Saccharomyces cerevisiae S288C: one gene and its partners. The gene in region 1 interacts genetically with each later gene. Each region holds a gene or a part of one and is shown in the gene's direction. Other genes may lie near its edges. The genes, in order: LOS1, CDC60, RIT1 and LHP1.

Region 1 (6,853 bases):
ACAATTATTGATTGGAAACGGTGGGAACCTGTCTTCCGATGCATTTGCTGCGAAGAAGGAATTTCTAGTTAAGGATCTCACTGAGGAAAGGCACCTAGCCAAGGCCAAGCAGCAGGATGGTTCGCAAGCTGGAGAGGTTCCTAATCCCTTCAACGATCCAAGTATGTCTAATGCTATGATGAACATGGCTAAGGGTAATATGGCCAGTTTCATCCCTCAAACTATTATTATGTGGTGGGTGAACCATTTTTTTGCTGGATTTATTCTTATGCAACTACCTTTCCCTTTGACTGCCAAATTCAAAGAGATGTTACAGACCGGTATTATCTGTCAGGACCTGGATGTGAGATGGGTTAGCTCCATTTCATGGTATTTTATTTCTGTGCTCGGGCTAAATCCAGTCTACAACCTGATTGGGTTAAACGATCAGGACATGGGTATTCAGGCCGGGATAGGTGGCCCTCAGGGCCCCCAAGGCCCTCCACAATCACAGGTTGACAAAGCAATGCATGCGATGGCTAACGATTTGACTATCATTCAGCATGAGACTTGTCTTGATAACGTTGAGCAAAGGGTTTTGAAACAGTATATGTAAGTTCGTGGCTATATATGCACTTGTATAGAAAACAGATATACTTCTCGGTTTCAATTGTATAAATCTACAAATTTATCTCTTGCATCCGCCATTCCGTATGCACCTTGCCATGATATAGGCCTGACAAACTTTACAATTGGTGGCGCGTTTTTGATAACTTTTTGAGAGATTATCCATTGTAAGAACTGTTGAGAATCTAATGAGTTGTCCCCCTCATTGGCCAAACAACTACAGTACTTAATGCTGCGGAGGGCTTTAGGCCTCTGCGACGCATTCAGTATTTGGAAAAGTATTTTGAAGATCGGCTGATCAACGGATATCTTGTCTTGGAAACTGGTAGGAGTAAAATGTAACCAGTTATTGACCATCGACTCTTGATCGTTTAGATGGAGGTTCGATAAAAGCTCAGCTTCATCGTCGAAATAAAACTCTCCGAGCGAATATACCTCCTGTGGACGTACAATCACACCATTTTCATCCTCCATTGCATATAGAGAGTCCCAAATGCATATTTCCGATATATTATACTTGCTCAAGAACGGCAAGATGATCTCTACGATGAAATTATTCAGATAGTTAACGGACACGAGTGGTGTTCGTTGCTGTATGGCAAAAAGTCCTCGCTTCTTATTGTAGAAAACTTCCAAAGCGCTGCTATACTTCATATCAGCGTCTTTATATAGCGAGTCGCTACCATCCTCTGGTCTGTCTAATGGTCCCACAAATTCCACTAGGTATTTCGAATCTAACGCCTCCAAATATTCCCATTCATTTGCTTGTGAATTCAGCAGCCAGTCAATACTCAATTGTGGTATATTCCCTACGCTTACTAATGGCAACACCAGGCAGCTCATCGTATGTTCCTTTGGGTTTTGTGCTATTCTTTCCTGAAGTTTTAATTTAATTTCCTTATTTTAGTGTAGGTGGCTTTTTTTTTAGCAGGTTACTCATTGTGGGATCATTTTCAGGCTCAAAGCGAAAAATTGAAAAATTAGCTAACAAAAAAAAACTAAAATTTTTTCAAATTCCATCAGTTAGTTTGAGAAGTTGTCGGTAAGCAACCTATAGAACAAGTGTTTCCAGTCAAATCGAGGAATGCTAGAACGGATTCAGCAGCTGGTAAATGCAGTGAACGATCCACGCTCAGATGTGGCCACTAAGAGACAAGCCATCGAGCTGCTAAATGGGATTAAATCATCAGAGAATGCATTGGAAATCTTTATATCATTGGTCATCAACGAGAATTCAAATGATTTGTTGAAGTTTTACGGACTGTCCACATTGATAGAATTGATGACGGAGGGCGTGAACGCTAATCCAAATGGTTTGAATCTGGTAAAGTTTGAAATAACCAAATGGCTCAAATTTCAAGTTTTGGGCAATAAGCAAACTAAGCTGCCTGACTTTTTAATGAATAAGATTTCTGAAGTGCTGACTACTTTGTTTATGTTAATGTACAGTGATTGTAATGGAAACCAGTGGAACAGTTTTTTTGACGATCTGATGAGTCTATTCCAAGTGGATTCGGCTATTTCCAATACGAGCCCGTCTACCGATGGTAACATTCTTCTAGGTCTTGAATTTTTTAACAAGCTCTGTTTGATGATTAATTCGGAGATTGCTGACCAAAGCTTTATTAGGTCTAAGGAATCTCAGTTAAAAAATAACAATATAAAAGATTGGATGCGTGATAACGATATCATGAAATTGAGTAATGTGTGGTTTCAGTGTTTAAAACTGGACGAACAAATTGTGTCACAATGTCCCGGATTGATCAATTCTACCTTGGATTGTATTGGGAGTTTTATCTCATGGATCGATATTAATTTAATTATTGATGCAAATAATTATTATCTGCAATTAATCTATAAATTTTTAAATCTTAAAGAAACCAAAATTTCATGTTATAATTGCATACTGGCCATCATCTCTAAAAAAATGAAACCAATGGACAAACTGGCTTTTCTGAATATGATCAATTTGACCAACGAATTGACTTACTATCATCAAGCCATATCAATGAATCCCCAAATTATTACATTTGATAATTTAGAAGTCTGGGAAAGTTTGACCAAGTTGATTACTTCCTTTGGCATAGAATTTACTATCATTATTGAACAAGTCAACGATGATCAAAAATTGGATACATTATACAAACAATCGGTCATTTCAAATGTTGATTCCATATTATTGGAGAAAATAATACCAATACTTTTGGAATTTATGAATAATGAGTTTGATTCAATAACAGCAAAAACCTTCCCATTCTGGTCAAATTATCTGGCTTTCTTGAAAAAATATAAAGCATCTTCACCAAATTTTGTACCATTGCATAAGGATTTTCTAGATAATTTCCAACAAATTTGCTTTAAAAGAATGAAGTTTTCAGACGACGAGGTCACACAGGATGATTTTGAGGAATTCAACGAAACCGTAAGATTTAAATTAAAAAATTTCCAGGAGATCATCGTGGTAATTGACCCAAGTCTGTTTTTAAATAACATTTCTCAAGAAATTTCAGCAAACCTAATGAATTGTAAAAACGAAAGCTGGCAAATTTTCGAGCTAACTATTTATCAAATCTTCAATTTAAGTGAATGTACCAAGAACAACTATTTCGGTTTGAACAAGAATGAAATTATGACCTCACAACCTTCGCTAACTTTAGTACGATTTTTAAATGAATTGTTAATGATGAAGGATTTCTTATTAGCCATTGATAACGAACAAATCCAAATACTATTCATGGAATTAATTGTGAAAAACTACAATTTCATATTTTCAACTAGTGCTAACACAGCAAATGCTACTGATGATGATGAAAAGTATCTATTAATATTGAATATTTTCATGAGCTCATTTGCTATGTTCAATAAAAGAGAAAACGTCAGACTAAGGTCATGGTATTTATTTACAAGATTCTTGAAGTTGACAAGAATCAATTTGAAAAAAATCCTCTTTGCCAACAAAAATTTGGTTAATGAAATAACTAATAAGATAAGTCCTCTACTTCACATAAAAGTAACATCTATCAACGCCCAAGGGACGGATGACAATGATACAATTTTTGATAATCAGTTGTACATATTTGAGGGTATTGGGTTTATAATCACATTGAATAATAGCAGTCAGGAGCTCACTGCTGCCACTGCCAACACCCCCATCGATTACGATATATTGGACCAGATATTAACTCCGCTATTTACACAATTAGAGGGTTGTATTACCCAAGGAGCTTCGCCAGTTGTGATTCTGGAATGTCATCACATTCTTATGGCTATTGGTACTTTAGCGAGAGGTTTGCACATTGGTCTCGTCCCTGAGAATCAGGTCAACAATATGGTTGTCAACAAAAAATTAATCAATGACTCTTTAATCCATAAATTCTCTAATATAGCTGAGGTTATATTAGTAACATTCTCTTTTTTCAATAAGTTCGAAAATATCCGCGATGCATCTAGGTTTACCTTTGCCAGGTTAATTCCAATTTTAAGTAATAAAATTTTACCATTTATCAATAAATTGATTGAATTGATCTTATCGTCCACAGATTTAAAATCATGGGAGATGATTGATTTTCTTGGGTTCTTATCTCAACTGATTCATATGTTTCACACGGACACAGACTGTTATCAGCTGTTTAACCAGTTACTTACTCCGCTTATCAACAAAGTCCATTCTATTATCGAAGAGATTGATGAACAACACGACCAACAATCAAGCAGTAACAAACCTATAGACACTGCAGTCACAGCCACCTCCGTAAATAAGAATATCGTGGTCACCGATTCGTATAGAGATAAAATACTATTGAAAAAGGCTTACTGCACATTTTTACAGTCATTTACTAATAATTCCGTCACTTCGATACTATTGTCAGATATAAACAGAGCAATCCTGCCGGTCATATTAAACGATTTGGTCACCTATACGCCGCAAGAGATCCAGGAAACATCAATGATGAAAGTGTCACTCAATGTATTGTGCAATTTTATCAAATGTTTTGGGAATGGGACCTGCTTGGATAATGACGACATCAATAAAGATCCCAACCTTAAAATAGATGGTCTCAACGAATACTTCATCATGAAATGTGTCCCAATAATCTTTGAAATTCCGTTCAATCCAATATACAAGTTCAATATCAAAGAAGGGAATTTCAAAACAATGGCATATGATTTGGCAAGATTACTGAGGGAGCTATTTATCGTCAGCAGCAACCCCACCACAAATGAGAATGAATGTGTAAAATATTTAACTCAGATCTACCTTCCACAAATCCAATTACCACAGGAATTGACGATTCAGTTGGTTAATATGTTAACCACAATGGGTCAAAAGCAATTCGAAAAATGGTTTGTAGATAATTTCATTTCTGTTTTAAAGCAAGGTCAATAGCTTTCAGGCGCAGAAAACCTGAAAATAAAAAAAAAATGCAAAACGAGAGTAAAAGTTGTAATTATATTTATACTAATATTTAAATTGGTAATATGTAATTAGACTTATCATTCACTTTGGTTTAGCAGCTAGTCATGTAATGGCACTAAAAGTGCTTCTTTATCTATTATTTATACGTGACATACCATTACTTCTATGTATTACGTAAAGAATGACAAACGTTTAGTTTTTTTAATTTCAAAGAAATCGTTGGAAGGTTCAAAAAGGATCAGGTGAGATATTAGAGTATATGAATGTTTCAGTCTCTAAGCTACACAAAGAACTAGCATAGTAGGACTTTAACCCATACAATGGAACTCAACGACCCTTCAATTATATCAAGCAGCCAGTTTTCAGGTGAATTGTCTGACAGCGATACTGCAGCCGCTACTCACAAATCGCAACAAGCCATCTCAAATTTATTCCAAAAATTAGCCAAAAAGGGCAGAGAAGAGAAGCCAATCGGTAGCGTAGAATCTTCAACTGATAGCTCTAACATTTCTGTTGCTACGAGCGGTAACAATAAAGAAAGCAATAAAAAAAAAAATAAGAAAACGGCCATGCTAAATTTCAGCAGTTTGACGGACCCTATAACGAACTACAAACCAATGGATCTGCAATACAAGACATATGCATACTCCATGAATGAACTTTATCATTTGAAACCATCTTTGGCAAGTGCTTCGTACGAAGAAGACCCACTTATTTCGGAACTTGTGAGGAGTTTACCCAAAAGAAAGTTTTGGCGATTGCGCATGGGACCTCCAGATCAAAAGCATGCTAATAACCATCATTTTAATGGGAACAATGGTGGAGGCAGTTGGAAGGCTGGTTACAAGAATGGGAAAAACGATGAGAGAAGAATGAGTAGAACCAAAAACATGCAGGGAGGCAAACGAAGATCTCAACAAGATGATGAAGAAAAAAAGATTGACCAAGAAATGCTGGAGATGGACAAGAATCTTCAATTAGGAGGTGACGTCGGCCATTCAATTGCAGATTTTGAAGATTGGAAGGCAAAGATGAAAGAATTAGAATTGAAAAAACTTTCAAAATCTAAAGGAATCAGTAACTCTACCGCAATTGCTCCCAGGGAAAGCGCCTCTCATGAAACACCCACCGATTTAAGACCGGTCATTCCAAGGGGCCCTAGTTCAATAACAGATTTTTTGAATTTAAAGAGGCAAGATAAGAAGGAAGAATCTTCACAACAAACACCTGGTATTCCTGTTGGACAGCCAAGCCTATCCAAAACCAGTATAGAACAAGTTAACGAATTAGAAACTAATTCAGATTTGGGTAAAAGTTCATCATCTCGGTTTTCATCATTTTTCAATAAATCTGCCACTTCGTTGCCTTCATTAGATAATAATAATCAAGTGCCATCGTCAAACGTGTCTGTAGTAAACAACGATGGCAACAGTACACCTCATCAAAGTGGTTCAAGACTGATGTCGTTTTTCAAAGAATCTAGATCGAGCACTCCAAATGCAGAATCGCAGTTGTTATCAGCCTCAGACAAAGATAATGGAAAGATGCAGACTCTTCCGCAATTCCAGCAGCAACCGCAACAAATGCAACCAATGGCATTTACCCAGCATCCTCCTAATAACAACGCATTTTTCAATGGGCTATTGAATAAAGGTAAAAGTGAAACTAGTACTCCTCCTCCTCCACCCCCAGGACTAATTGCTCATCAGGGTCCACAATTTCCTGTGATGGGTGTACCACCAAATTTTCCACAACGCATGATGCCACCGCCACCAGGTCTCGTTCAATTCCAGAAAGATTCTAAAGATGTAAATAAGAAGGAAGACAGGC
Region 2 (7,077 bases), on another chromosome or scaffold:
AAGCGCTTCTAAATTTTGTTCCTCTGGCGTTAAGCATTTCGTATTTTTCACAATGTTTAGTATTATGCCCGCTATAAATTTCCCATTGTTGAAACAACTCTCGCTACCCTTATCTTTATTTTCTTTAAATGAAAGTATGGTCTCTAATATCAGGGTTAACTTTTGAATGTAATCCTTGAATAGTATATTTTCAATCGGATTCACGTCAGCTGTTACACTTGAATCTTTTAAATAAATTCCAACCGTTTTTGTGATATGAAATAAATCTGAGATGCTTAGTTGTTCTGCTTGACCTAAATTTTGGAATTTGAAGATCGAATCCCATAGGGATGTAATAGCTTCTTTAGGAAGGGCTTTCTTGGACACAAGCAGCTTATCCATCGCAATACAGGACGTTAACGTTCCATGCTCTGCTATAAAAGAGATAATTGTTGGATCACTGCTTATTGAATTGTGTATTTTTGAACTTGGAAGCACCGTTAAAGTTTTGTTTAATAAATTTGTTAATAACGATCTCAGGTTGTTATAATATTTAGTTTGCTCGTGACATCTTCTCATAATCTGAAATAGGGTGAAGAGGTCCTTGATATCTAGCCACATGGTATTTTCCAGATTTAACAGCTTCCTCAGTAAATCTAGGAATCCTTGATATTGTAGTGGGTCTTGTAGCAAGCTACCAACTTGAATCAATTCACTAAGAGATATGAGCTTCAGTAGCGCGACAGCGTCACTTTTGGATGCAACTGAGTTACATAATATCATCAAAGCTGCGGCTAGGGCATAACTACTTGCGGAACTCTTAATAGTTTCGATACATAATGATTGCTCTCGTTTGTTAGAGTTTGTTAGGTTGGCGGAGATGTTGCCTGCGCACGATATGAGTCTTCTCATTACAATTAGCTTATTATTGAAGGTTTTTGATTCTAAGCAAACTAAGGACAATATTAAATTTTTTTGCATGCTTAGCACAAGCTGCTCCTCATTGGTAAAGTTTATAGTTTCATCCTTGGCTACAATAGTTTCAAGACATGTTGACAGATTTAATAGCAATTCACAATTAACGTCCTCCTCATCATCTTCTTCCTCTTTTTCGATGTACTCTTGATTTCCTTGGCCAGCGAACTTCTGAGTTTCAGTATTTGAATATGCTTCGACTGCTCCATCTTCCATTGCCTGCAATTCTTTATTTTGCACATTTGAAGAGATTTTTTTGATGTACTGGCTTAAGAAAAAGAGATCGCTTATTTGAACATTTGAGTAATTGACTTTTAAAATATCGTTCAATAAATCTGAACCTAAAACAACTTTTTCGGGAGATGACAAATAGCTATATTGTGTGGTTTTCAACAAAACAAATAATGGACCTCTAATGAAGGGAGCCAAATTTTCTGTATACTTGAGATTTCCAATGCAAAAATTCCTTAGTAGCACAACTGACCGCATCTGTAATTTATCCACTAAGCTATCCTCACTCTTGTCAGAAGAAATTTCGTCCAGCTGAAGAACCCCGCCTATATAATAATTAAGAAGCTTTTTACCTCCAGAATCCAAGAGAATTTCCCGATTATCATCATTATCAATTATTGCGTTAGCGATACATCTAATCACTTCAGAACTGATCTCATAAAACGCTATTTTATCATTAATTGAAATGCTCGTATCATGAAAGCAGATATCAAGCGCTTGTTCTAATACTCTTACTAGGTTCAGTAGCAGCCCAGTTTTACCAACAATATCTCTATTACTTGGTTCTCTCAACGAAACAGCCAATTGGTCCATTACCGCTAGGTAGCTTCCTAAGTAGACATCGTTCATCGGAACATCCTTTATTGAAGACGCATTGAGGATCGGTTGCAGACCAAATAAAATTTCTTCGTAATCCATTTAGTAGGACAGTTATTTTCACTTGAAACCACAATCTTTTGGGGCTGAAATATAGATGAGGTGATTTGTTATTCGCGGTTAGTTTTAGTTCGCGAGTGACCTGCTTACGTTGTCTTCAGCCATTTTACGTTGCTTGGCTTGCCGCCGGCGGGTAATATGATCTTATTTTGACATGGTTAAAGAAAAATACTTTTGACTAAGTACCTTTATCACAAGAAAGTTTAGGAAGGGATTCACTATTTGAAGATCAGACAAATGAGTATACGATATTGGCTCAATATTTTAGCCGAGTTTGCTTAAACTTAGTGGCAGAACTTTAGTCATGGGAAGACAAGAACGATCTTACGAGGCCCTTAGGACCTCGGCGGCTAACAGTAAAACTGGTAACTGACGGACAAGGAATATCAAGGTCATATTTTGAAAAGGTCTTTTTGGGTGACTACTTGGGTAAGAAATAATTAGACGAAGTTTCTTTCTGATGTGTATTGAACTAGTGCTCGTGCTTACATACACATCGCCCATTATTGCCTATAGTTATCCTCACTTTATACGAGGTCTGGCCGTTAACGGTTCTTTTACATTGAAAAACTAAATCAGTCACCCACGCAAATAATGAAAAAAAAAAAAAAATCAAAAGCGAAAAGAAACCTAACGCATATTCTATTCAAACGTTGAATGATTGTATTATTATAAATCATAATCACGTAAAGCCACCGAAATTTTTTTCCAGAGTGAAGAATATAAAAAAAATATCTTTAACCAGTCTATAATGTCTTCTGGTTTGGTCTTAGAAAACACGGCACGTAGAGATGCGTTAATCGCCATCGAAAAGAAGTACCAAAAAATATGGGCTGAAGAGCACCAATTTGAAATCGATGCGCCATCAATCGAAGATGAGCCCATTACAATGGACTCTGAAGAGTTACATCGCACGTATCCTAAATTCATGTCGTCTATGGCCTATCCTTATATGAACGGTGTTATGCACGCCGGCCATTGTTTTACTCTCTCCAAAGTCGAATTTTCTATTGGTTTTGAAAGGATGAACGGTAAAAGAGCTTTGTTTCCATTGGGTTTTCACTGTACAGGTATGCCAATCTTAGCATGTGCCGATAAACTAAAGAGGGAAGCCGAACTTTTTGGCAAGAACTTCGACAATGTACCAGCAGAAGAAGAAGAAATTAAAGAAGAAACGCCGGCTGAGAAAGACCACGAGGATGTTACCAAATTCAAAGCTAAAAAATCTAAAGCCGCAGCCAAGAAGGGCCGTGGTAAGTACCAATTCGAAATCATGTTACAGCTTGGTATCCCTAGAGAAGAAATCATTAAGTTCGCCGACGCCAAGTACTGGTTGACCTATTTCCCACCTTTGTGTGAAAGTGATTGTACTTCACTTGGGGCTCGTATCGATTGGAGACGTTCTTTTGTCACCACTGATGCCAATCCTTATTACGATGCCTTTATTAGATGGCAAATGAACAAGTTAAAGGCTGCTGGTAAAATCAAATTCGGTGAACGTTATACTATTTACTCTGAAAAAGATGGTCAAGCTTGTATGGATCACGATAGACAATCCGGTGAAGGTGTTACACCACAAGAATATATTGGTGTGAAAATTGAAGCTTTAGAGTTCGCCGATGATGCCGCAAAAATCATTGATTCAAGCTCAGATCTTGACAAATCCAAAAAATTCTACTTTGTCGCTGCCACGTTGAGACCGGAAACTATGTATGGACAAACATGTTGTTTTGTTTCTCCAACAATTGAGTATGGTATATTTGACGCTGGTGATTCTTATTTTATCACTACTGAACGTGCATTCAAGAACATGTCTTACCAAAAGCTAACACCAAAGAGAGGCTTCTACAAGCCGATAGTTACTGTCCCAGGTAAGGCATTTATCGGTACCAAGATTCATGCCCCACAATCTGTATATCCAGAACTAAGAATATTGCCTATGGAAACTGTCATTGCTACCAAGGGTACTGGTGTCGTCACGTGTGTACCATCTAATTCACCAGATGACTACATTACCACCAAGGACTTGTTGCACAAACCTGAATACTACGGCATTAAACCTGAATGGATTGACCATGAAATTGTTCCAATTATGCATACCGAAAAGTATGGTGATTTAACTGCAAAGGCTATTGTTGAAGAAAAAAAAATTCAATCTCCAAAGGATAAGAACTTGTTAGCAGAAGCCAAGAAAATTGCTTACAAGGAAGATTACTACACTGGTACCATGATATATGGTCCTTATAAAGGTGAGAAGGTCGAACAAGCCAAAAACAAGGTTAAGGCTGATATGATTGCCGCCGGTGAAGCTTTCGTCTACAACGAACCAGAATCTCAGGTCATGTCACGTTCTGGTGATGACTGTATCGTTTCTTTGGAAGATCAATGGTACGTTGATTACGGTGAAGAAAGTTGGAAGAAACAAGCAATTGAATGTTTGGAAGGGATGCAATTATTTGCTCCTGAGGTAAAAAACGCATTTGAAGGTGTTTTGGATTGGTTGAAAAACTGGGCTGTTTGCCGTACATACGGGTTAGGTACCAGATTGCCTTGGGATGAAAAATACTTAGTTGAGTCTTTATCAGACTCTACTATTTATCAATCATTTTATACCATTGCTCACTTACTATTTAAGGATTATTATGGTAACGAAATTGGACCATTAGGCATTTCAGCTGATCAAATGACAGATGAGGTTTTCGATTACATTTTCCAACATCAGGATGATGTCAAGAACACCAATATTCCTTTGCCTGCTTTACAAAAGTTGAGAAGGGAATTTGAGTATTTCTACCCATTAGACGTCTCAATTTCCGGGAAGGATTTGATCCCTAACCATTTAACTTTCTTCATTTACACACATGTTGCATTATTCCCAAAGAAATTCTGGCCTAAAGGTATCAGAGCTAACGGTCATTTGATGTTAAACAATTCTAAAATGTCGAAATCTACAGGTAATTTTATGACTTTAGAACAAACGGTTGAAAAGTTCGGTGCTGATGCAGCTCGTATTGCGTTTGCCGATGCGGGAGATACTGTTGAAGATGCAAATTTTGACGAATCTAACGCTAATGCTGCTATTCTGAGATTATTCAATTTGAAGGAGTGGGCAGAAGAAATTACCAAGGAATCTAACTTGAGAACTGGGGAAATTACAGATTTCTTTGATATCGCGTTTGAACACGAAATGAATGCTCTGATTGAAAAGACTTATGAACAGTATGCATTGACTAATTATAAGAATGCCTTGAAATACGGTCTTTTTGATTTCCAAGCTGCTAGGGATTACTATCGTGAAGCTAGTGGTGTAATGCATAAAGATTTAATTGCACGTTATATTGAAACACAAGCCTTATTGCTGGCTCCAATTGCGCCTCATTTCGCTGAGTATATTTACCGTGAAGTTCTAGGTAACCAAACCTCTGTACAAAATGCCAAATTTCCACGTGCATCCAAACCAGTAGATAAGGGTGTTCTGGCTGCTTTGGATTACTTGAGAAATCTACAGAGAAGCATAAGAGAAGGCGAAGGGCAAGCACTAAAAAAGAAGAAGGGCAAGTCTGCTGAAATCGATGCATCCAAACCTGTTAAGTTGACTTTATTGATCTCTGAATCATTTCCAGAATGGCAATCACAATGCGTGGAAATCGTCCGTAAACTATTCAGCGAACAGACTTTAGACGATAACAAAAAGGTCAGAGAGCATATTGAGCCTAAAGAAATGAAGAGAGCTATGCCATTCATTTCTCTATTGAAACAACGTTTAGCTAATGAAAAGCCAGAGGATGTGTTTGAAAGAGAGTTACAATTCAGCGAAATCGATACTGTCAAGGCTGCTGCAAGGAATGTTAAGAAGGCAGCACAAGCTTTGAAAATTGCTGAATTTAGCGCAATTTCTTTCCCATATGGCGCCAAAACCGGTAAGGATATCTTTACTGGTGAAGAAGTTGAAATTCCACCTGTAACAAAGATTGTTGAAAATGCTGTTCCAGGTAACCCAGGTGTTGTCTTCCAAAATATTTAAAGGAGAATATTTCAAGATGCCTCATGGTGATTTTCCGATAAAAGATACAAGAAATTCTCATAGAAATACTTATAAAGATCAATAAACAGCAACCAGAAATCACGTCGCATTGATAATTTGCCTCGTATATATCGTATAATTATTGTAATTGCACAACTGTTTTTGTTTTGTATTCGTTCATTTTCTTGTAAAATGTTTCCACATTTTCTTGTGGAGGATATGTATATTGATTCTTTACTTATTCGTGTTATTTTAGCTGCAAATATCTGGGTTTGAGGGCTATTTGACTAGTCTAGAGAAAAGTAGTCGTGAGAAAACTATATTAGATAGATGGATGAGAGGAGCAGGTCAATAAGTAAAAGAATAATAAATAAATATATAAAAATATACATGTAAAAAAGGTGTTCTAAATGAATGATAAAGTTTATGAATGTAATATACTCTAAGGATGTAAGAAAAAAACCGTTGCGTATGTATAATAAACAGGTCTATGATGTTAAAAGATGAAAAGGCCTAATAAAGTGAACAGAACCGGAAGAAACTAAAAATAAATAAAACCCAAGTAACCACGTACAAAAAGCACATTGATGCTAAGAAGATCTCCCTGCTAGGAAAACAGAAATCAGAATGAAACGTTTCAATAATCATCCCTCAAGTTTTTTCTTCATTTGGAGCAACGTCACTACTGACTTTTTTCTCCCCTTTCCTCTTCTCTTTGAAAATTCATCCATTTTCCGCTGAAGCGTCTCACTTGTTTTATTGTCAACTAATGTATTTCTCTTAGCACTTACATGAATAAGCTCATTTGTGTTCATTGATTTTTCCTTAGGTGGATGAAAAGGCTTCAAATTTTTCAGTAGTTCACTAGGTATATTCTCCCACTCTGAAAAGAATTCAAGTCCAGTGGCAGAGGAAATCCATGGTGATAGAGGTTCATTTAAATCTTCAAGCTTCATCGCAAATTCGTATAACGTACTTCCGGTGTCTTCCTTTAGCTTCGGGTCATTGGGATTGATGAATAAGGGTCTATATCCAGAATAGAGTACATTTGTGGTCATGTCACTCTGCTTTAAATGTGAGGTGGATGGTACTCTTGGTAGCCACGAAAAATCGCTTCTTTTCTTTTTTAAATGAGAACCTCTCACATCGCT
Region 3 (5,082 bases), on another chromosome or scaffold:
TGACTATCTGATAGATTGATATCGAGGTCACCATAAGGATAAACCTTGACAGTTTTACCAGTAACGTCTTCTCCTGTTATAGGATTTAAAAATTTTCTTTTTGAATATGCTTCTTGTCTGATATCTTCATGCTCATAAACAAGTTTATACCTGACTCCAGCTTTTTCATGGGTATACATAGTGTAACCCTTGACTCCGACTATAAAATTTGTTTTCTCATCCAAGATTAATGGACATTGAAACATTATCCTCTTTACCTCCTTTTTCCTTAGGATTCTGGACTTGATGTATTTAGCATCTATAGGCTTTGTACTTGGACCATCAAATTCAGAATCCAAACCAGTATTCTCATTTGTATGTGAACCCAACTGCAGTATGTCCGAATAAAACTCGTTGTCAAATGGTTTATCGGCATAGCCAATAAAAAAAGTTGCAAAATTCACTTTGTTATCAAATAAATCAATTGTAAGCCTTCTCAATCTTGCCCGTTCATCGATATCTTGCGCCTCTTGTGGTTTATCAATGTCAGTGAATAAGAACACTCTCTTGTTGCTTAATTGCTTTTGACCCGGAATCTCTTCCAAAAAAGTGTCAAGCATGAATGTGAATAATACAGATAAGCGCACTTGCTTTTCACTCCCAGTTTGTTGAAACATAAAATAGTCGTATAGGCTTATTCTCCCCGATGATAAATCTTCTAAAAGATCGTTCAATTTCTTCATAAATGTAGCATTTATATCCCTTAATGGAAAAAGTTCATAGATACCTTCCTTGGCATCCTCTCTGTTACAGTAATAAAAATAGCAACCAATAGCTGTCCCAGGTCTTGTTATGACCAATTGTGACATTAGCTCATCTAGTGATTCCAGAATTTCCAACAATGGTGATTTATACTCTAGATCAGAGGACTCTTTAAACATTGTCTCTGATAGTTCAATGCAAAACAAAATTCCTTCATGGATATCAAACTTCCTATAACCTGTTTCATCCACTTGATCGTTAAGTTCTCCACTATTGCCAAATGCATTAGTGACTGAGCGCATAATATTCCCGTTTTAAAATCAGGCTTAGAGTCACTTAACAAATCATAGCTTTACTGTTGAAAACTAGAACAGTAATACAGAGAATGTCATTTGGTAGCTACCTTAAAGCAATCCCTAATACATGAAATTGAGAATCTTCAAAAATTAAGGTAATCAAAAGTAAAAAAATATCTCCCGGGGGCGAGTCGAACGCCCGATCTCAAGATTTCGTAGTGGTAAATTACAGTCTTGCGCCTTAAACCAACTTGGCTACCGAGAGTCAATTAACTGATAACCATTCAATTATGAGTCCGTCTAATATCATGCTTATTCACAATTTTAATATAAGCAACCTTGCAGAAGTGACCTGTTGTCAAAACGGAATATCAACTTGATTGAGGGGATGATAATTATCCTATATATTCTATAAATATGGATTATACTGAATATTGGGTGAATAATTTGATAATTGTTGGGATTGCATTGTTGATCAAGGCTATATAATATTATGTACACAGAATATATTAGAAGTTCTCCTCGAGGATAGAAATCTCAAAATGGAATCTATATTTCTACATAATAAAATTACGATTATTCCTCATTCCGTTTATATGTTTCATTATCCTATTACATTATCAATCCTTGCACTTCAGCTTCCATTATACTTGATAACTATTTCTCAATCCTTATTTTATGTTTTTCCACCGCATATTATAATATGCCAGTAATATTTATTCTTATTAATGGTCGTTAATTTCACACCAGGCGTGTTTATAACTGAGTAATCACTTTAAATTTGAGCATCCGGTTTTGCACCGTTAATAGTATCATTGTTAATTAGTAGGCAGGTTGTAGTATATTCTAAGAATAAAACAGGTGCCCTTAATCTGTACAAGAGAAGAGTATGAAATATGAATTACATTGGGCATATCGACTATACGCAATATATCAGTAGCTTCGACGATTTAGGTAGGTATAAGGGTTTCCTATACCTGTATACACAAATTTCAAACTTATGGCCGAGCCAGATAGTCCTTTAGCTATGCCTTCCATTACTTCTTGGAAAGCTTGTTGCATTTCCCGTCATATTATGTACGGTTACAACTTTTTTGTTGATTTCCATGCCCGAAGGGAGCTTAGCATAGCCGCTATTACATAATCTTATCATCTTCATCAAAAATGAACTTCTAAAATCATCCCACCACTCTATTGCTCTTCATATATGCGTTGTATGTTTATGTGCTTTGTTCTTATTACTGCTTAACTGTGACTGGGCCCATTATTCATTGTTCATATGCAGGAAAAAAAAAGCATGCTTGAAAATTTTGATCTCTTGATGGATGGTATCGAGGCTATCAAAGAGATATAGATCCAGAGTACAGTTTAGTATATCCGTGATGGATGAAAATATTTATCTTTCGCTATCTCAGATAAATAAAGACATCAGAAAGGAAAACAAGTCCGTAAGGAATCGACTTCAGAGTATTCTTTTAGACAATAAATTTTTGCAAGATCGAGTTATCCCTATATTTCCCCATTATCCACTGATACCCAATGAAAGATGTGGGCTATGGTACTGTAATCCATCAAGTTTCAAACAGACCAGTTACTTTAAGAGCACAGACGGGCATGTCAACCAATGGGACTTTAGCACCCGAAGATTGAACTTTCATTTGTTAGAGACCATTCGAGATAATAAAGGTATTATAATTGTCGATAGTACTAGAAGAGGTAAAAAAATCCCAGATGCTTTGAGTAAGACTGTCCCCATATGGTGTGCTGTATTAAATACGTTAATGCTTCAGGAAACAGAAAAAAATGTTGCCATCGATAAGGTACTGTATCTTCCACCTGAGACAGTTCCCAAATCAGAATATGACATGATTAAGCGAAAAATACCCGAACTAGTTGCTAAACTACAAAAATTGAATATTATAGATTCTAAGAAATTGAACGAACTGTTTATGGGTAAGTTATTGCGGCCCATATGGGTTCACCCTGGTTCTTCACTTCTAGACCATTCTGTTGATTACTTCACGGGTGAAGTACAGGAGTATGAAGCCTGGGAAACACCTGAAGACCAAAACATAATACCCATTATTTTGTGCACGGTAAGCTATCAAGCACAAGATGGTATGGATAAAAGATACGGCTTCACTTATGTGCAGGGTGCAGCCGACGATCACGAGCTCTGGTCTTTTGGTTTGGATTCAAATATGTTTTGGGCCCATATAGAATACCTAGGCGACGCAAGTTATTCAGACGACCAGTTACATGATTACATCATGGATTTGGCTGCTGCAAAGCTGAGAAATCAGTGTTATATACAAGATAAAGGAAGCTTGGATGAAGTCTTTGGAAACATTGATAAAATTACGAATGAGATATCTCTAGGAAAAGTGAGTTCAGGCTTAACCATCAATAAGAATTTGAAACAGAAATTGAAGTCAGAATATGGTAAAGTTATAATTTTCAGTAATTCGGTGACTGTTGCTGAAGATACAGACGATGAAGAAGAAAGTGGGACAGATCCGTTTATTTCAATATACAAGTTGCAAAGCGGAGACAAGAAAAGTTCAAAAGCTTTACGATCCACATTCCCTAGAATCCATGGAGAAATTCAATCGTTGTTTACAAATCGAGATGAAAAAATAAAGCCAATGCTAATATGCTGCAATACAGGTACTGATATGTCAATCGGTGTCATCTTAAGTATCCTTTGTACCAAATATACTGAAGAATGGATGCTTACGTCGGAGTTACCGGACATCAGTAAGCTTATTGTAAGAAAACACTTGACAAAATTGATTTCCCACTTGAAAGGACGCAACGTTAACCCTTCAAGAGCAACACTGAACAGCGTCAATAGCTTTTTAATGTAGTGAGTTAGGCAATACTGAGATGTTTACTCGCAATGTCACTGTATATTTTAATATCAAATAACGTCAGTTTTTATTAGAAAAAGAGCGGGTTACCGTTTATCCTGAACAGAAAAGGTTCATTGAAAAAGAGCCCTTCAGACATTGGCTAATGAAAAGAATATGTAAAATCAAGAACAAATTAACGAAGCTCTCCTTCGTTAACAGTCCACTACCTAAATTTATGATTAATGTGGATAAATAGACTGGTTAAACATCCATCCTACAGTGTTCTGAGGTTTTACACGAAGAGGCTCTGCACTGTATCAGTGAAATCGCTGCGTGAATTTGGTGTACTGCCGAATAGCACAATATGTCATTCTGTCTATCCCCGAAGAACGTATGTAATGGGTAGGGCTGTCATAAATGATATTTTAATCAAAAAATCCTATTCAACTCACACGGTATGTGCAATTGATCGATCAAAAGATGAAAATAATGGGAGCGCTTATGACAAATTCGAGGCAAAAGGTATACCTATAGATGTTCACACATTAAAACGAATTATCAGCTCGAGTGGAATGGATGAATCCGAATTTTCCAAGAGTATAAGTTACTTATTCGCGAAAACCGTGGACCCTGAACCGAAGGATGTTCTGTCTTTAGAGGACCTGTCTTTTCTTTTGAGCAAACTATACACACAACGGTTTCAAATTAGGAGAATCTGTAGAGACATAAACGCTAAATATTCAGAATTTTGGTTCAAACTTTTTTCCTTATATGCAGAAAAAGTTGATGCCAAGAGAAACCAAGTTAACTTACGGAATACGAAACTAGATGCATGTGAAATATTTGATGCAAATCTTATGATCAAGAACTTTATAGAGCTCGGTCAATTAGGTAAGGCTCAAAAAATTTTAAGCTTTATTCTTGATAGAAATCCTGATATATTACTGTCTCCGAAAAATGCAGATATTAGCACAATAGTTCACTTTTTACAACTGCGTTGTGGCGCTTTGGCGCCTTATTGGAAAATACCAGATAATAGTGAGCAAAAACAAGGTTTTTTAAGAAAAATGGTTCGACTAGGTGCGAAAAATACGTCAATTCGTCTTTCTTCTACTTACAAAGCCATGGATCACCAAACATTATTAAAGATTGCTGATCTTGCTCTGCAGGAGAAAAAGCTTTTGAATTCCGAG
Region 4 (4,316 bases), on another chromosome or scaffold:
GCTAAGTGAACTATGCAATAAAGACTAAGAGAAAAAGCAAAGAAAGGCGTCTTAACACAGTATACATTTTTCGACATTATGAATTATAAAATTTTTATTTACGCTTGTAAAATAATATTTTCATTTCTTCTATTTTCCTCTTTTCTTCGTTTTCTTGACTTCATACTTCATTTTTTGTTTGACTCCTTTTTGCGTTATGAAACGTGATGCTTCGATATTCTCATTGGTTTCTTAAAACTTTAGCAATATCGGACAAACAGCCGTATTTTTTATTCTTATTTTTACTGCTTGATACAGTACCCCAGTCAGTGGCTGTTGAAACTCTGCCACTTGCCGTTTCTGATAGTACTTGCTTATAAGTTTTCATTGAATGACTTTTTTCACCAGCGGTATAGCTCTGAAATAATTTGTGCATATACGATCTAACTTCTTCTCTATTGTAAGGTTGTTTATTCGCTCTTTTAAATTTCTTATTTGTGGATGATCCATTGGCGGTGGAACTACCCTTTATATTAGCAGGCGGCGCGGTAGATGCGATGGTTTTAGTCTTCGTATTAGCAGGTTGTACAGCCACGGAATCATCTTTTCGTGCCTGCTGTTGCTGTTGCTGTTGCCTTGGAAGGGCTTTGGCAGCTGCCTGCGCCCAACCTGTTAATTTTGGCTTCTGAGGAAGCACAGCGGGCGTTGGACCATTTGAATTTGGACCTGAAGCAGATAAAGTAGCCTTCAAAGTCGAGGAGGTTCTGCCATCTACACTGGTTGTTGAGGTTGTTGTCATTTCGTACTAGATTAAAGGGAAAATTGTATCGTAAATAAGTAATAAAGTTAATGAAAATTCGGAAACAAAAATGGATAGATATTAAACAGTGAACAAATGAAAAATTTCAGAAAAAAAGAATTAAAAAAAAAAAGGGAAAAAATATGCACAAGATCGTATTATTTGTTGTTCCTCGTATTTTTCTTTCTATTTAGTCTCACATTTTTGACACATGCCTGGTGTTATATATACATTACAATGGAAAGTTCTTTTCTCTTTCTCCGAATAAAGTAGCGGTCTATTGATCACTTCTTACGCTGGGTATATGAGTCGTAATAAATAAAATCATCAGAATCATTCGTAAGTCATTTTACTTTTTTAAAAAGATAATTACAGTTTTTGGGTCTATATACTACTCTAAAAATGTGGTGGTGGCTTAATGCATCTTTTTTACAGATGAACCTTCGTTATGGGTATTGACATCGTTGCTAATGCTGACAGAAGGCACAGGCTCATTCTTGATTTTCTTGTTCACTTTCTTGTCATGTTGAAGAGCGGCATACTCAATAGCTTGTGGTGGGAGGGTTGTATCGTTGATGGCGGGAGAGTAGCCAATCTCCTTCAAAGTGTCAACCATTTGATCTCTAACTTTTTCAGCAAATTCACCAATTTTGTCCTTTGTTAAGTTCTCGGTTGAAATAGGTTTTAAAATTCTAACAATCATACAGCCTCTGTTGAAGACCCCATATTTAGGACTTACTAAAGTACTGGTATTGGAAACAACCACTGGAACAATGGGGATCTTACCCTGTTGTGCCAAATGGAAAGCACCCTTCTTGAAAGGCAACATTGTCAGCTCACTCGTGTAAGACCTGGTACCCTCAGGAAAAACCCATAGAGCACGCTTGTTTTTCTTAACATTTTCTAAACCTTTATTCAAGGTGTCAATGGCTTCTTGCCTTTTAGATCTGTCTAAGAAATATGTACCACTCAAAGCCATGAACCAACCCAGAAAGGGGACGTATTTCAAAGACTTCTTGGCAGTAACTGTGCAACCAGGGGGGAAAATCCTACCTAACATGAAGATATCCAAGGTGGATTGGTGATTGGCAATCATAATATATGGCTTCTTGGCCAAATTCTCCTCGCCAACGACCTTGACGTCAAGGCCAAGCATCAATTTCATGACATGGTAAAAACAACGCGCAGTAATCCACTGAGCCAAATGTTGCTTACCGATTAACGTGCAAAGGATAGAGGCGATTACACCGTAAAAGCCACAGCCTGCAAGCGCCAGTACGACCAACACGGACCTCAAGTAATACAAGAACCTACCTATCACACTCATTATTTTTTTGCTCGAATTCACTGACGGAGGGAAACCACTAAACTTCTCTATTGAAGAATTCCCCCTTCACCTTAAACCCTTCCTAATATAAGTATTTTGAACACCATACCATATTCTCAACAAAACAAAGGAAGCATAATTGATATCATCATTCACGAGATCCATCTCGTGACCGTGAAAAAATTTTCGTCTTCGTCTTAGTGTAATGTGTTCAGCCCAACCTCATCGCAATATCTCAAGATTTTTGAATTACAACCAAATCAAAAGCACAGAGTCGCATCTCATCGCTATGATGTATTTTTTTCTTTTTCCAAAAAATGGGTTCTATTTGGTTCTACTGGAACTAAAGTAGCATCTGCAAAGAAGTAATGTCTGAAAAACCACAACAAGAGGAGCAAGAGAAACCACAATCAAGACGTAATTCATTTGCTGTGATTGAATTTACTCCAGAAGTCTTGGACAGATGTTTAAAGCAAGTGGAATTCTACTTTTCTGAATTCAACTTTCCATATGACAGGTTCTTGCGCACAACAGCGGAAAAAAACGATGGATGGGTCCCCATCAGCACCATCGCCACATTCAACCGTATGAAGAAATATAGACCAGTGGATAAGGTTATCGAAGCACTACGTAGTTCTGAAATTTTGGAAGTATCTGCTGATGGAGAGAACGTCAAGAGACGTGTTCCTTTGGACCTAACTGCTGCCAGAAATGCCAGAATTGAGCAAAACCAACGGACTTTGGCTGTAATGAATTTCCCACATGAGGACGTTGAAGCTTCCCAAATTCCTGAATTGCAGGAGAACTTGGAAGCCTTTTTCAAAAAATTAGGTGAAATCAACCAAGTGCGTTTGAGAAGAGATCACAGAAACAAGAAATTTAATGGTACGGTCTTGGTGGAATTTAAGACAATTCCAGAATGTGAAGCTTTTTTGAAATCGTATTCCAATGACGATGAGTCCAACGAAATTTTGTCATATGAAGGTAAGAAACTGAGTGTTTTGACGAAAAAACAGTTTGATTTACAGAGAGAGGCCTCGAAGTCCAAAAACTTCAGCGGTAGATCAAGATCCTTTAACGGCCATAAGAAGAAAAACTTGCCTAAATTCCCCAAAAATAAGAAGAAAAACGGCAAGGAAGAGTCAAAAGAGGACTCTTCTGCCATTGCCGATGACGATGAGGAGCACAAGGAGTGATTCTTGTGTTTCTTCTGGTTCTCGTATCTCATTATCATAGCATATTAAGAATATATGTACTAACATATGTACTAAACAGAAACACAATATGAATTACAACTAATACTATATTATTTGTCTCCTTTTTTTATTAGTATTAAAAATTACCGTTACTGGTTAAAATGGAATACAGCTCATCCATTTAAAAAAAAAAAAAAATAGAATAACAATAATTAAGCAGAAAAAATGTTAACGAATATAATAAATCGATTTGTCCATTTTCATAAATTTTTTTTTTGTATTATTTCATTATCTGTGCCTCAAAGCATTAACTTTTCTTGCAGTCAGAGAGAGTCTCTTGCGTGGATTATACCAACCGCCATTATCAGCCGGCATAGGGGCCGGCGTAGCATAGTTACTATCAGCTGTAATTATGTATGACCACCCTGGTGTTACGGTAGTATGTTGATCAACGGAGTTTCTTAAAGTGTAGTAATACGTTACCTCACTGGTCGCGTACTTCCTTTTCCATGTCTTTGCTGTTACCTTAGTAGCCGGTTGGAGTTGCATGGGAGCATATTTCACAACACCTGTTTGTAAGTTGTAGGGAACGGTGAAACTCTTAGAATCAATCGTGGCACCCACATCTCCTGTGGTAATTCTTGTTTGTGCCTCTGGTGCAATGGTTATCATACTCGGATTAGCGGCTTTTGTACCAATCATCCCTTTTAGTTTAAATCTGTTAGTGTAATGAATGGTGTAACCGATAGCTGTTTGCGCAAAGACTTGTATGAAGTAAACACCGTCCGTCCCAACGGTGTTTTCTATTATCGCATTGAACTCGTTGTCTGTCAGATCACTCGCACTGAGTGTTTGAAGAGTAGCCATTGCTTCTATCATGGCATTGGTACCCGAACACAGAGTAAACGTGTATCTGACAAAATCCTTTTCCTGTGGTGTGTTATCTGTATGCATCCACTTTACTTTGACAACAGCCTGACTTGTACCAGATAAATCATAAACTGAGTTGGGTTCT

What was found.
Region 2: mutations in LOS1 (region 1) and CDC60 together harm fitness more than expected from each alone (negative genetic interaction), as found in Saccharomyces cerevisiae (3 studies listed by BioGRID).
Region 3: mutations in LOS1 (region 1) and RIT1 together harm fitness more than expected from each alone (negative genetic interaction), as found in Saccharomyces cerevisiae (5 studies listed by BioGRID, with this or other methods).
Region 4: mutations in LOS1 (region 1) and LHP1 together harm fitness more than expected from each alone (negative genetic interaction), as found in Saccharomyces cerevisiae (4 studies listed by BioGRID, with this or other methods).

What each region holds. Positions count from the first base shown.
Region 1 is NC_001143.9:48,361-55,213, forward strand, and holds LOS1 (Ran GTPase-binding protein LOS1), read left to right. Parts: upstream 1-1,690; coding exon 1,691-4,993; downstream 4,994-6,853. Other genes in the region: ER membrane complex subunit EMC3, read left to right, coding at 1-595; ADD66 (Add66p), read right to left, coding at 646-1,449; EAP1 (Eap1p), read left to right, coding at 5,344-6,853. UniProt on the Saccharomyces cerevisiae protein: tRNA nucleus export receptor which facilitates tRNA translocation across the nuclear pore complex. Preferentially interacts with tRNAs with mature 5'- and 3'-termini and does not distinguish between intron-containing and spliced tRNAs.
Region 2 is NC_001148.4:244,337-251,413, forward strand, and holds CDC60 (leucine--tRNA ligase CDC60), read left to right. Parts: upstream 1-2,653; coding exon 2,654-5,926; downstream 5,927-7,077. Other genes in the region: BEM4 (Bem4p), read right to left, coding at 1-1,884; PET20 (Pet20p), read right to left, coding at 6,571-7,077.
Region 3 is NC_001145.3:834,148-839,229, reverse strand, and holds RIT1 (tRNA A64-2'-O-ribosylphosphate transferase), read left to right. Parts: upstream 1-2,362; coding exon 2,363-3,904; downstream 3,905-5,082. Other genes in the region: ATP-dependent DNA helicase YKU70, read right to left, coding at 1-1,043; AEP2 (Aep2p), read left to right, coding at 4,132-5,082. UniProt on the Saccharomyces cerevisiae protein: tRNA backbone modifying enzyme that mediates initiator/ elongator tRNA discrimination. This enzyme modifies exclusively the initiator tRNA in position 64 using 5'-phosphoribosyl-1'-pyrophosphate as the modification donor.
Region 4 is NC_001136.10:361,479-365,794, forward strand, and holds LHP1 (tRNA maturation protein LHP1), read left to right. Parts: upstream 1-2,473; coding exon 2,474-3,301; downstream 3,302-4,316. Other genes in the region: PBP4 (Pbp4p), read right to left, coding at 221-778; 1-acylglycerol-3-phosphate O-acyltransferase SLC1, read right to left, coding at 1,194-2,105; KNH1 (Knh1p), read right to left, coding at 3,590-4,316.